Xenopus tropicalis: one gene and its partner. The protein of the gene in region 1 interacts with the protein of each later gene in a pairwise test. Links are inferred from orthologs where the notes say so. Each region holds a gene or a part of one and is shown on either strand. Other genes may lie near its edges.

What was found. The genes of interacting proteins can lie anywhere in the genome.
Region 2: the proteins of tnpo2 (region 1) and camk2d interact in binary tests that used the Homo sapiens proteins (3 or more experiments, as listed by UniProt). The two-hybrid records come from large-scale screens. The link is inferred for Xenopus tropicalis from reciprocal best matches to the Homo sapiens genes TNPO2 and CAMK2D.

The regions. Positions count from the first base shown.
Region 1 is NC_030679.2:140,481,159-140,486,727, forward strand, and holds the end of tnpo2 (transportin-2), read left to right. Parts: intron 1-289; coding exon 290-388; intron 389-551; coding exon 552-647; intron 648-923; coding exon 924-999; intron 1,000-1,262; coding exon 1,263-1,362; intron 1,363-1,487; coding exon 1,488-1,562; intron 1,563-2,168; coding exon 2,169-2,276; 3' UTR 2,277-2,312; intron 2,313-2,400; 3' UTR 2,401-4,132; downstream 4,133-5,569. UniProt on the Homo sapiens protein: Probably functions in nuclear protein import as nuclear transport receptor. Serves as receptor for nuclear localization signals (NLS) in cargo substrates.
Region 2 is NC_030677.2:69,462,227-69,468,237, forward strand, and holds the start of camk2d (calcium/calmodulin-dependent protein kinase type II subunit delta), read right to left. Parts: upstream 3,687-6,011; 5' UTR 2,914-3,686; coding exon 2,852-2,913; intron 1-2,851. UniProt on the Homo sapiens protein: Calcium/calmodulin-dependent protein kinase involved in the regulation of Ca(2+) homeostatis and excitation-contraction coupling (ECC) in heart by targeting ion channels, transporters and accessory proteins involved in Ca(2+) influx into the myocyte, Ca(2+) release from the sarcoplasmic reticulum (SR), SR Ca(2+) uptake and Na(+) and K(+) channel transport.

The DNA of each region.
Region 1 (5,569 bases):
TAAGTTTGCCCAGAAGCAGTTACCCATAGCAACCAATAAGATGTTTGCTTTTAAACAGGTGACCAGTAAATGCTACCTGCTGATTGGTTGCTACGGGTTACTGCTCCTGGGCAAACTCCAGTGCCTTTTATTACATAACCCCATTAGAGATTTGTGTGTTTATCATCATAAGGGTGTCCTAGTGGTAACTGTGAGCCTATTGGCTGATTGGGACCCTGGCCGACTCTGTGGCACACCATCTAGCTGCTGAACTTGTTACAACTTAAAATTTCCATTTTGTCTTTTCTAGCGGAGTTCATGCCTATTCTGGGCACCAACTTAAATCCAGAGTTTATCTCTGTGTGCAATAATGCAACGTGGGCCATCGGAGAGATCTGCATGCAGATGGGTGAGTGATGCAGGGCGACATATTACCCCTAATGGAATCTGTGCCTGTATATTTCGGGTTCAGTATCAGAATAGTAGGAAAATAGAAGCTTAACCCTTTGGGACACACAATGCGGTTATAGGAGCTGATGCTGAGGGGCTTTCTCTCTATTTCTTTCTTACAGGAGCGGAGATGCAGCCATATGTCCCCATGGTCTTAAATAACCTTGTGGAAATCATTAACCGGCCAAATACTCCAAAGACCCTTCTGGAAAACACAGGTGCGTAATATCCTCATGTTAAGCTGAAGGACAATATCTAGGGGAAATTCCTTAATTCTAGAGGTCCAGCTTTCCTGTAAGCATCAATATTACCTTAGACAGACCTTCCCTGAGTGTGTGCAAGGCAGCGCTTGGCCACTAGAGGGAACTAGTAAATCACCACAGACATTACAATGAAAGCTGATTGGTTCTGTCCACATCTCTATAACAGCATAGTGGGATTGCAGGTCATTTTGCTTTTTATAAGGTGCCATCTTTTGTCTTTTTCCTGTACAGCCATAACCATTGGGCGCCTGGGCTGTGTGTGTCCCCAGGAAGTGGCTCCTATGCTGCAACAGTTTATCAGGCCTTGGTAAGTAATGTTTAAAGCTTTGGGAACCACAGGGGGGGTTAACTTTTCCTCCTGCTCAAAGGATTGTGGGTAGTCCTATCAGCCACTGACTTGACACCTTGGGGAAAAGGCACTAAATTGTTTGCCCATAGCAACCAATCAGCAGGTAGAATTTACTAGTCATCTGTTACTGCTACTGGGCAACCCCCCCCCCCCCTAACTTAAAGCACCAATAATGGAATCTTTTAACGCTATAAATACTGCCTTGATCATTTAATTGCTAGGTGCACATCACTTCGCAATATCCGTGACAATGAGGAGAAAGACTCCGCCTTCAGGGGGATCTGTATAATGATAGGTGTGAATCCTGGTGGAGTTGTACAGGTAAATATGCTTCACTCTATGGGGGGGGGGGTTTGGGGATAGGGGGGCAGCAGAGATGGGTGTGTTCCCTCCATACACTTGCCTTGCCCTTACTTACTTGTGTCCTCTCTTCCCTTGTCCCTCAGGATTTTATTTTCTTTTGTGATGCTGTGGCGTCATGGATGAGTCCGAAGGATGATCTGAGGGACATGTTCTATAAGGTAAGAATTCTATAACAAAGATAGGACTTTCTTGTTCTTCTAAAGAGCGCCATACAACACCGAAACCCCTAATATCCCTATCACTGTAATCTGTTCCTTCAAACAGTAGGAATAAATACCATTTATAGGCTGAAATCCAGCTGCAAAACAGTTCTTCTCTTTCTGCATCAATTGAAATCCTGGCAGGGGAGGAGGGACTAAAACACTGATACAAATTGCAACAACTTCTCCATAGCTTACAGACAGCATGCAGGAACTACATAACCCACAATGCATTGCACAGAGATGTTCCTTTCCTTACTGACATCAAGTGCAGGGGATTGGGAGAATGCAAGCTGAGGGCAGGCGACTACTGTTACATTTTATTTGAGTCTCAAAGTAGTCAGCCAGATCAGCAGAACAGGGGGCGGGGCTTAGGGAACTGTTCCAAACCCTATTTTTACATTACAAATCATGAAAAGGCTGCATATTTTGGAATGATATTGTATATTGCAAAGTTGCTTGAAATTATGTTTACTTACTTCATATATTATATATTATATATGTATATATAGCCCAGGCCTACCCTTTATACTGGACTGACTTTTGCTTCATTGGATCCTGTAGATTTTGCACGGTTTTAAAGAGCAGGTTGGGGAGGAGAATTGGAACCAGTTCTCTGAGCAGTTTCCCCCTCTGCTAAAGGAGCGTTTAGCCGCGTTCTACGGTGTGTAAAAGGGCTCGTTAGCAGATACACACCCAGCGTGGGAGGTAAGTGGCCTCTGGGGGTTATAGTAGGAGAAGATACCTAAGGCCTTTGGTTTAGTCCACCCGCTCATTTTGTCTCTTCTCTGTTTAGGTTCCTGTTTGGTCCATGTGGTCATCGGGGAGAAAGATGTCCTACGCCCCCTCATCCGGTCTTTAGAAGGGTTTTAGGGAACAGTGTCCAAGGCTAGAATTACACCCCCTCGTCGCCAACCCCCAGGAACATTATTGCAGGGAGAAGTGTGCTGCATAGTGCAAACTACACAGCTCAACACAACATTTCAACCCCCACCCTACCACCATCAGACATGGCGCAGATTTAGTCGTTAATTTTGTTTTCTATTGTGCATCCAAGGGGGTTGGGCTTAAAGATGAAACTCTATGGTTAATGGGAGGAGGTAGGGAATAAGAGAAGATGCCAGGCACACAGCGGGATGTGGGAAGGGGAAGAAGCGGGTGGGGGGAGGTAGCGCATAGAGGGAGGGAGGAGGAGGGAAGTAATTGGCTCCTGTGCTCCGTGTTAGAGCTGGCACAGGTTCAGACGACCGTATCTCTTACAGATAGGGTTTAAATTAAGGTAGGGCAGGGCTGTTCAGCGTATTTTAGGGCCCGTGGGCATACAGAGGGAGGAAGGAAACAGAGTATTGTTCAAACTGTGTTGTAATTGGGCATGTGTGGAACACCCAAGTCTTACATCATTGCTCCATCCCAATTTGAAGGGTGGCCGGCCCATCTCGTCGGAGTGGCCTTTAAACTGCCCACCATTTACCCAATCAATTTGGGGTCCCACCTTTCATACTGTTGGCAAAGGCAGCAAGCCCAGAGCGCCAGACCTACGGTCTTCCTGCGGAAACCCCCTACTTGCCACCTACCTCGTGGATGGCTCCAAGTCACTGGCATTTGAAGTACAGCAGGGACCCAGGTTGGCGTTCATCCATGTTTTATCCAAGAAACGTTGCATTTCAGCATCCCCAGCTTATCGGCCCTCTCCTCGTGCCCCAGGATCTCCGTGGCATAAGGGGGGCTGCTTAGTTTTTATCACAAAATCGATTTCGCAAAGGGTCTCCTTAACCCTTTGGCTGCTGACGTGGGATGGAAGAAAAGAGATTTGCTTTTCCCAGCAGACTCCTAGTAAATGTTATTGTTCCTAGTGAGCTGAGGCTTCCGGTGCTGGCATTTCAGGTTCCTGGCTCCGCAGCGTTGGCCGGCACTGACTCCAAGCAATGAACTTGGGAGACAAGCATTGACTGGGTCCAAAATGGCTGAGGCCTTGCCGCTAGAGATGAGCTGGCATTGCGCTGGCAGGGAAGTGGTGAACCCGAACAGATGAGGACAGGTATTGGGGGGTGGGTGACCTTTTAACAATACCTACTTTTAAAAGCAAGAAGCAAAGGGTGGGCTTCAAGATGTCACAGCCTGCCTGAGCCGGGGTGGGACGCAATGCCGCCCGTTCAGTAATATCACCCTTCCTCCCTCCCCTGTTTTCTAGGGCACACCACTAGGCTCCAGTTCAATTCTGGGTCTGTGTATTGGTATTTGTGATGTAATGTTTCCTATGGTAAAACTGCAGTGTATTTAGTGTAAAGCCATCTTGCTTGCACCTTTGCTCAGATGAGAATTATATTCTCATTTTATGTATATTTTTTTTTTTTTTGTTAACTAAAAATGCAGGTTTTTTTTTTTTTGTGACTCAAAAACAATGTTGTGTCTTATTGTACAATGCAATATGGAACATGGAACAACCCCCCAACCAAGGGAGATGTTTGTCTCTGTCGCGGGAAAAGTAAAAAAAAAAAAAAACAATATGGAGGATTTTACCACTTTAACTGTGAGCTGGAATAATTTCTTTGTCGGAGCAGGGTGGTATGGGTACAACGCGGAATGTGCTGGGGCTACTACTGATTGGCATAAAGGTATGGGGTGAGGTGGCCTTGGCAAATGTATAGGAACACTGACACAAATTGCAATTATTGGTTACGCCTACCTTCCTGCGGGGGGGATACTGGGGGTCACTTATCAACACTGGGCAAATTTGCCCTTGGGCAGCAACCCATGGTAACCAATCACATTATTGCATTCATTGTTCTACCTGCAGCTGGCTGAAAAAAAAAACAAAAAACCCACCAATCACTGATGGGTTACTGCCCATGGGCAAATTTTCCTAGCGTTTATAAAGGAAGCACTGCTGTTATTTTGGACCAGGGCCAATTCGGGTTGTATTCAAAACAGAATTATCTTCTATTTCCTTTATTTAGCTAATAATGACCATATATTAGTGCGCTCACAGGTACTACTCCAGAGGAGTGGTAGCCACCATATTTGCCCAGTATACGGGATATCCCTCTGTTTAGCCTGGTACTATGCAAGACTGCCCTGTGTATGGGGTCCTTAAGCAATGGCCTTGATCCATCCTCTATAAGGGCAGTAACAGACGGGGAGATCAGTTGCACTGCAATGCCATCCCACCGGCTAGAATGTAAATCGCCAGTGGGATGGCATACACGTCGCTACGATTTCCCGAAGTTTCCTCTCAAGGCAACTTCAGGCGACGTCCGGGAAATCGTAGCGACGCGTATGCCATCCCACTGGCGATTTACATTCTAGCCGGTGGGATGGCATTGCAGGGAGATTAGCCAACCGCACTAAAGATTTTTCGCGGGGCAACTAATCTCCCCGTCTGTCACTGCCCTAAGAGTGGGCTTCTTAGAGTTTTAGCCATCCCAGCAGCTATAAATGGCTACCAAATCTGAGCCTCATTGGTGGCAGTTGGAAAACTCAGATGTGACTTCCGGGGTACAGTTCTCCCTGGGTAGAAGAATGGACCCCCCCAACAAAGTACTGGAAGAGCAGCAGGAGACATTTTAATTAGGCCTTCATTACCCATATACCATAACATGGTATATTTATCAGGCAAGAGAACTTCTAGTAATTTTAGCACAAGATATTGGTGCCATTTTAAGCCATATGTTAAAAAGAGTTAGCGCCACCAACTGGCAGGATTTACCCAGAGTGCCCCACAGAGTCCACGTGTAGCCAAGCCACAGATAGGCTGATATACTGCAGTCCTTGATGTTATGGTTTCTCCAGGTTGCACAGATCCAGTGGGGCTGATGGTTCCATAAAAGTCCAAAGGGCTTGGGCAGAACTCTGGTCTTCAGTCTCCCTTCATTTGGGAAAGATATTTCCTCTGTTTTAAGGCGGTTCCATGGGCTTCATGACTGGCTTCTGCCAGTTGCTCCTTGTGTATGAGCCCCCCTGACAGC
Region 2 (6,011 bases), on another chromosome or scaffold:
GTGATGTATCAGATTTCCCTTTAGTGCTAGAAGTTTTCCAACTGCTCTCCAGTCAACATAATCTTCTCCTCTACTGCCAACATACCATTTGGTCATATGAAGATAATATGATAATTAGGGGTACATTGGTGTGGGGAGCATTGGTTGACTCTGCCCCATTGAAACCTACAGATCCTTTCTTTTTTTGTGATGTAAGATCTAGATATTTTGCTGGTTAGGCCTCTAACCAGCCCTCAGCCTAGCGGCAGCTACAAACTGTGGAAACCCTGCAAACTGAACTATTCATGCTCTCTACACTACCATTAGAGCTTTCTGCTAACAGTAAACAGTGGTTGTGATTCAGCTTCTGCTTCCACCAAAATATCCAATAAACATTCTTTGCAGAACACACTCACACATGTGTTTTAAATACACAAGTACAGTCTGTAGAAATGTTACACTACAAATGACAAGCAGGACTGCAGAACAGTCAGTGGTCTACCGAAAATAATGCTACAAAAAGGACCCAATGCTGTATTCTTTCTCCTCTCTCATCCTCTCTCTCTCTTTTGCCAAAGGTATATTGTAGATTGCTCTGCTTTAAAATCTTCCAGAATGTGTTCAGTCCATGTCAGTGGTTTCCTAGACTGTCAATAACCCCCTTTCCTAAACACCCACATAGTGATGCTCCTTTAATTCAGCTGCCATCTCCAGTACAATGTGCTCAATGCCAGTAAATAATGGGAGCTGTAGTCATCACATAGCTAAAAAATAAACACCAGGATCTATTACCATGGAGTCCTAGTTTTAAAAAGCAGCAGAAGGAAATAAACACAAGTTAGCATTAGGATGGAGAGTGGCAAAAACATTAGTGATTAGTGTTCCTGTAGGACCTTGACACCCTCAAACGAAAACCGAAATGGTCTTTCCTTCTCAACACTAGTAAATGCCTCTTGTAACTGGCTCTGGATGGAGGATTCCCATGAGCTCTTTGTCAAGAGTGGATATTTAAACGGAGTGTCATTATGTTTAGGGCAATACATATTATAGTGATAGATAAAAGAGTAAGGTCAAATTTGAGAAAATTCAAGTGGCCAGACACAGTGAAAGCATAAAAAGATGCAATTTAATCAGTTCTTAGGAGAGCAAGATGTTTCCACACTGACCTGAATTTCTGTAGTGTGAGTCACCAGCAATGATAGCTGGAAGAATTCCCTCATTTCCCCTGAGAAATATAAGGTATCCAGACTGTGTTTCCGAGCCACTGGTTGAAGCTCTGGCCAACTACATTTACACTGTATTGCCAGGCAATATTCACCCCCCAGCAGTGTATTAAGATTTTGCTTGCTATTTATAGCACTAGGCTATTTGTCCTTACAGCATTTCTCATTGCTGAACATTCCGTGCATGGCATCTATTTTTGTATAAACCCTCTGTTGTTATAGGGGATTTCCACCTCCCAAAAAAAATAAAAGAAAATATAATTTAAAGAGACTTGAAGCTATTATTTTAAAGGGACTGTTGAAAGCTGCATCTGTCTTGATTCCAAAAACAAAAATGCCAACCTTACCATATTTTTATATATCTTTCCTATTAATAACATTGGCCTCAGGCATATTTTTTTCCACCAAGGTCAATAAAATACTGAACAGGTAGCAACCCTAGTCTGGCTGCTTATATTCTCTGCACTTTTGGTTATGCTTACTGAAACAATGTAGCTAAAGCAAGATACTTTTAGGGTACTGGCACATAGGAAGATTTGGCAGCCGTGGTAAATATGCATTACTATGGTCAACAAGTGAAAATGCCTTCCCCTTGCCTAACATTTGAATCATTGCAAGTAAAAACATATTACTTGCACCAATCCGGCTTAATCGCGGGAAAATGTGAAAGAAGGCAATTTCCTGTGTTTAAGCTGGATTGCTGCAAATAATGTTTATTTTTTACTTGTGTCGATCCAAATGCACAGAATTAACGCTTATGACATATATCCATGTCTTCCAGGGCCCTGAGTCAGAATCAGAGAACAGAGGGATAAACACATTGTTTTACCATTATCTAGACAATTTTTGGATGGAGTGTACCTTTAAAGAATCTACAGGGTAGGGATTCCCTCAGCTGTAACCTCAATTGCTGCTCCTTGTAGCCCTTTACCATGACACAAGTTTTCATCCATGTGCTGTTCAAACTGCATACTTCCACTGGCAGTGCTGATAACAAAGTACACTTGATGGACTATTTCCTGGCACGAGCCTTTAGTGTAGATAGGCACAATCAAACATACTTGGGCACAGGCTGCGTCTATGCGTCACTTTTTCCCACATATACTATAAATAAATGAATTATGCAATTAACCGTTTCAACACCAGAGTCACAATACAGGGTGTTCAGCTGGGGCAGAGGAGAATCATGTTAACTGGCTAAGCTTGTGTAACTTTTGTTATGATTCTGACACAATTACTGAGCAAATGGTCTGCCATACAGATCATTAGAGGAAGATACAAATGAGACAAGGCGCATATATATTTTAGTGATGTATTTCTTCCAAACTCCCACAAGTTCACCTCTGGGCAAATGTTAAAAATAAAATGGGCATCTATAATGCTGTCCCTCCAGCCCTTCACAAGTGGGCAGTTACTACAACTGACCATTTCTACGCATAAACACAAATGATATATTTATTATATAATGTGTATATATACATCACATACATCCTATAATATTAAAGAGCTAATGTGTAAGCCAGGAATGCCCAACTAGCAGCCCTAAGGTGTTGACAAACTATAACTCCCATGACCCCAAGGCTGGAGGGCTACAGGTTAGGCGCTGCTGGGCCACAGACAATGAAGCCATATCTGTTCTTGCTACTTACTTTCCTAGCTCCTCGAAGAGCTGGTACTCATCCGTAAACCTGGTGCAAGTAGTTGAAGCCATAGCGCCTCCTCCCCCTGCTTTTTTCCGCTGGTGGTGCACGGTCGGGGTGCTAGGGGACGCGCAGCAGCGCAATGACAGGCAAGAGAAGCGGCAGCGGCGGGATCCCGAGGTGGCAGCAGTAGGGCGCAGAGTAGCTCCTAACCTGAGCCTGGGGAGGATGCTCGGCTTTCCCTCCTCCCTGTGCCCCTCTCCTCCTCCTCCTCCTCCTCCCCGCCTCTCTTCACGCAGCAGGGTCGGCTCACACGGTCACTGCTCTCTAGTGCTTAGTGCTTTGCCTTATTTGCAGCGTTTCCCCGTCTCCGCTTCACTTTCGCTTCCCTGTGGGGAGCGCAGCGTAAAACAAAAGAACGTAGTAGCGCAAAATGACAGTGTCACAAACAGCTGCTGGCTCCTTTTAGCTTGAATATCTCAAGACGCATTGGGGAAGGAAAGTGTCATATCGGGTGAAAGAGGAACCAAATACAGCGACAAAACTATAAAAACGCGAAGGCGTCCTGCAGGTCGGTCATGCCGCTAGGACCCTTCTCAGAAAGCGCAGGCTAATGTCTTACTGCTTCCGACCCGCTGCCTCTAATGGCAGCCCGAGAGGGAACAGCTCACGGTTATATTTTATGCGGGTTAGATGTGCTCTGTGTGCGAGTGAGTGGGTACGAGCTGCTCGCTCCCCCCCCTACCGTTCTATGGAACGCACCTCCCTCTAGCGACTCAACAACAGCAGACGAGTCCACAGAGATATCGGACGGGGTATCATAGCACCATCATGTCCTGCGTGTTTTACCGGGAAATCCCTCTGTTTGTTACGCTCTGGGGGTGGAAGTAAACATCGTTAGAGAAAACTAGGAACTTCCTCAGCTAATAGCAAAGCTATTTTTGATTTAAAAATGGTGTGGAAAGAAAAAACATTCAGTTCAAGCCATTAGTAAATTTCTTTTTTGTATTCATGATTTCTACCTTCTTACCGGGCGTTAGTTCCAGCCTACACAACGTATTTATCCTAGTATATTGTCAAAACTATTGATTTTATACAGGAACCATGTCACTAGTCATGGTAAAAGCAGCTATGCATTCAAAGTGTGCATATTAACTATATACTAAGCAGTCAAAGGGGGTGATGTAATAAAAGGCACAAAGTCTGTACAGGTGCCAGAGGAGAGCCAAGCCAGGGAGGCACCCTAGGCAACATGGCTGGCCACCTTCCCCCATCCCCTGCCCCTGAGTGATTGCTGGGGTTGCCTGTAATGTCAAGAGGTGGGGGGGGCTAGAGAGCGCAGACTAGGGGTAGGCAGAAGAAGTACCTGCCTGGTGCAATTTCAATTTCAATTTCAAATACATGCTGAAATGCTGATGGGCCTGCTAGGGTTCATTTATGAAAGCAAGCAGAAGTGCTAAAATGGATGCAAAACTATGCATGCATTGATTGATTCAGAAAGGCTTTTAGATCCATACAGGCGCCTTTGCAACTTGCTGCAAGCCTAATGAGTTATGCACAAGTGATATCATTGACACACGAGAACCCAGGAATTACCTTCACCATGGATCTGACCATAATTCCCTTAGTGCATTGTGTCTATATTCACAGGTGACTTGTGGCAAGTGAATGTGATACTAATGGTGTTATTGATTCCACACTGAGGAACTGACAGCAGTCAACTACTAATGTAGTGGAAAAGTAGAGCAATGGAGTTGGTGCGCACCATGTCTGGACTTGTAGTCAGTAGTGTGGCTAAAAAGGTAACCTCTGTGTAGCAAAACATACCAGCCAGCAAGACCTCAGCGCTATCTTCAGTGCCGGATTTCTGTCTATGGGGCCCATAAGCTGCCCCCATTTTCCCCCCCCAGCAGGATCGCACGCATGCGTGTCCTTTTAGCTTACATACAGAGCACTTGGGACAGGATGCACTAAGGTTTTCTTTACGAGCGGCTGGGTGGTATGCCGCACCTAAATTTATGCTTCCCTAAGCCCAGGCCTTTGTGGTTTGGGAATCTGATCAGCTATTATCCTGATCAGCTATTATCCCGGCTTCAGCTTTAAACCCAGTGGGAGATCTGTAGCCTATAGGATAAACCCATGTAAATGGGATTTTTTTAAGAGTTTTGGAATTCATTCCCAGAATTCTTTTGTTTGCTTTGGTCTGTATAAGGCAGTCTCCTCAACCTTATTTATTTGGTTTTGCCACAAATCCAGGTCTGCCTATCTTGTTTAACACCCAGTACAGAGAAGGGGTGGCCACTGGGGGATTGATTTGTACAGTTGGGGAGTGGGAAATGGACTGTCTTTAGGGAAAGGGGGAAAACAGTATTTTTTAATGCCTTGTCCTTGATACACATAGCTGTGGGGGCAAAACTCTTATGCTCACGGCTCTTTCTGCAATTATCCTGTCTGATCCATTTGCTCCGGGGCACTGGGGGGGTGGGGGTGGGTTGCAGGACTGTGAAGCTGTGAGCTGCTTGCTCCTGGGGTTTTGCATTTATTGGTGGTGTTCACTTCGGCCCGAACTGGCAATCTGTGGATTGTGGCAAATACCATAGTTGCTGCTGTAAGATTCCATAGACAGTCACTACATATTGGGGGACTGTTTGAGCCTCCATGTATTAAAAATGCCAGGGCCTTTTGAATCCCAATCTCTCTGTTCCCTCTTTTCCACAGCAGGTCAAATGTATCAGCCCCTATGTATCAGCATCACTTTATAGCCTCCAGCTTGTTGTGCTGAGAAATGAAGTGCAGTAACAACTGGGGTACAGTAGGCTGGTAGACAGCAGTGCACAGACCATTGTCAGACTTTGCCTATTGGCCCTTGTAGGCGCTTTAGAACCAGCTGCATTGCCGCACTTCACTGATTACAGGAAGAACTACACACTGTGAATTGTGGTTTTCATAACATTCAGTACTGAACTGAGTGTATAATCTATATGCAGCGATAAGGCTGCACAATGTGCTGGTAATTTGCTTCCAATTTTAGTCACATGCTTTCTAAATCTGTTGGTATATTTTCTAAAGGAAGATAGCTGCAAAGAATATGCCATTCCTTTTATTAGCATGCAGCATAAATATCACCACTTCCCAGTTGTATTTCATATCAATGCTTTCCGTCTGCGTT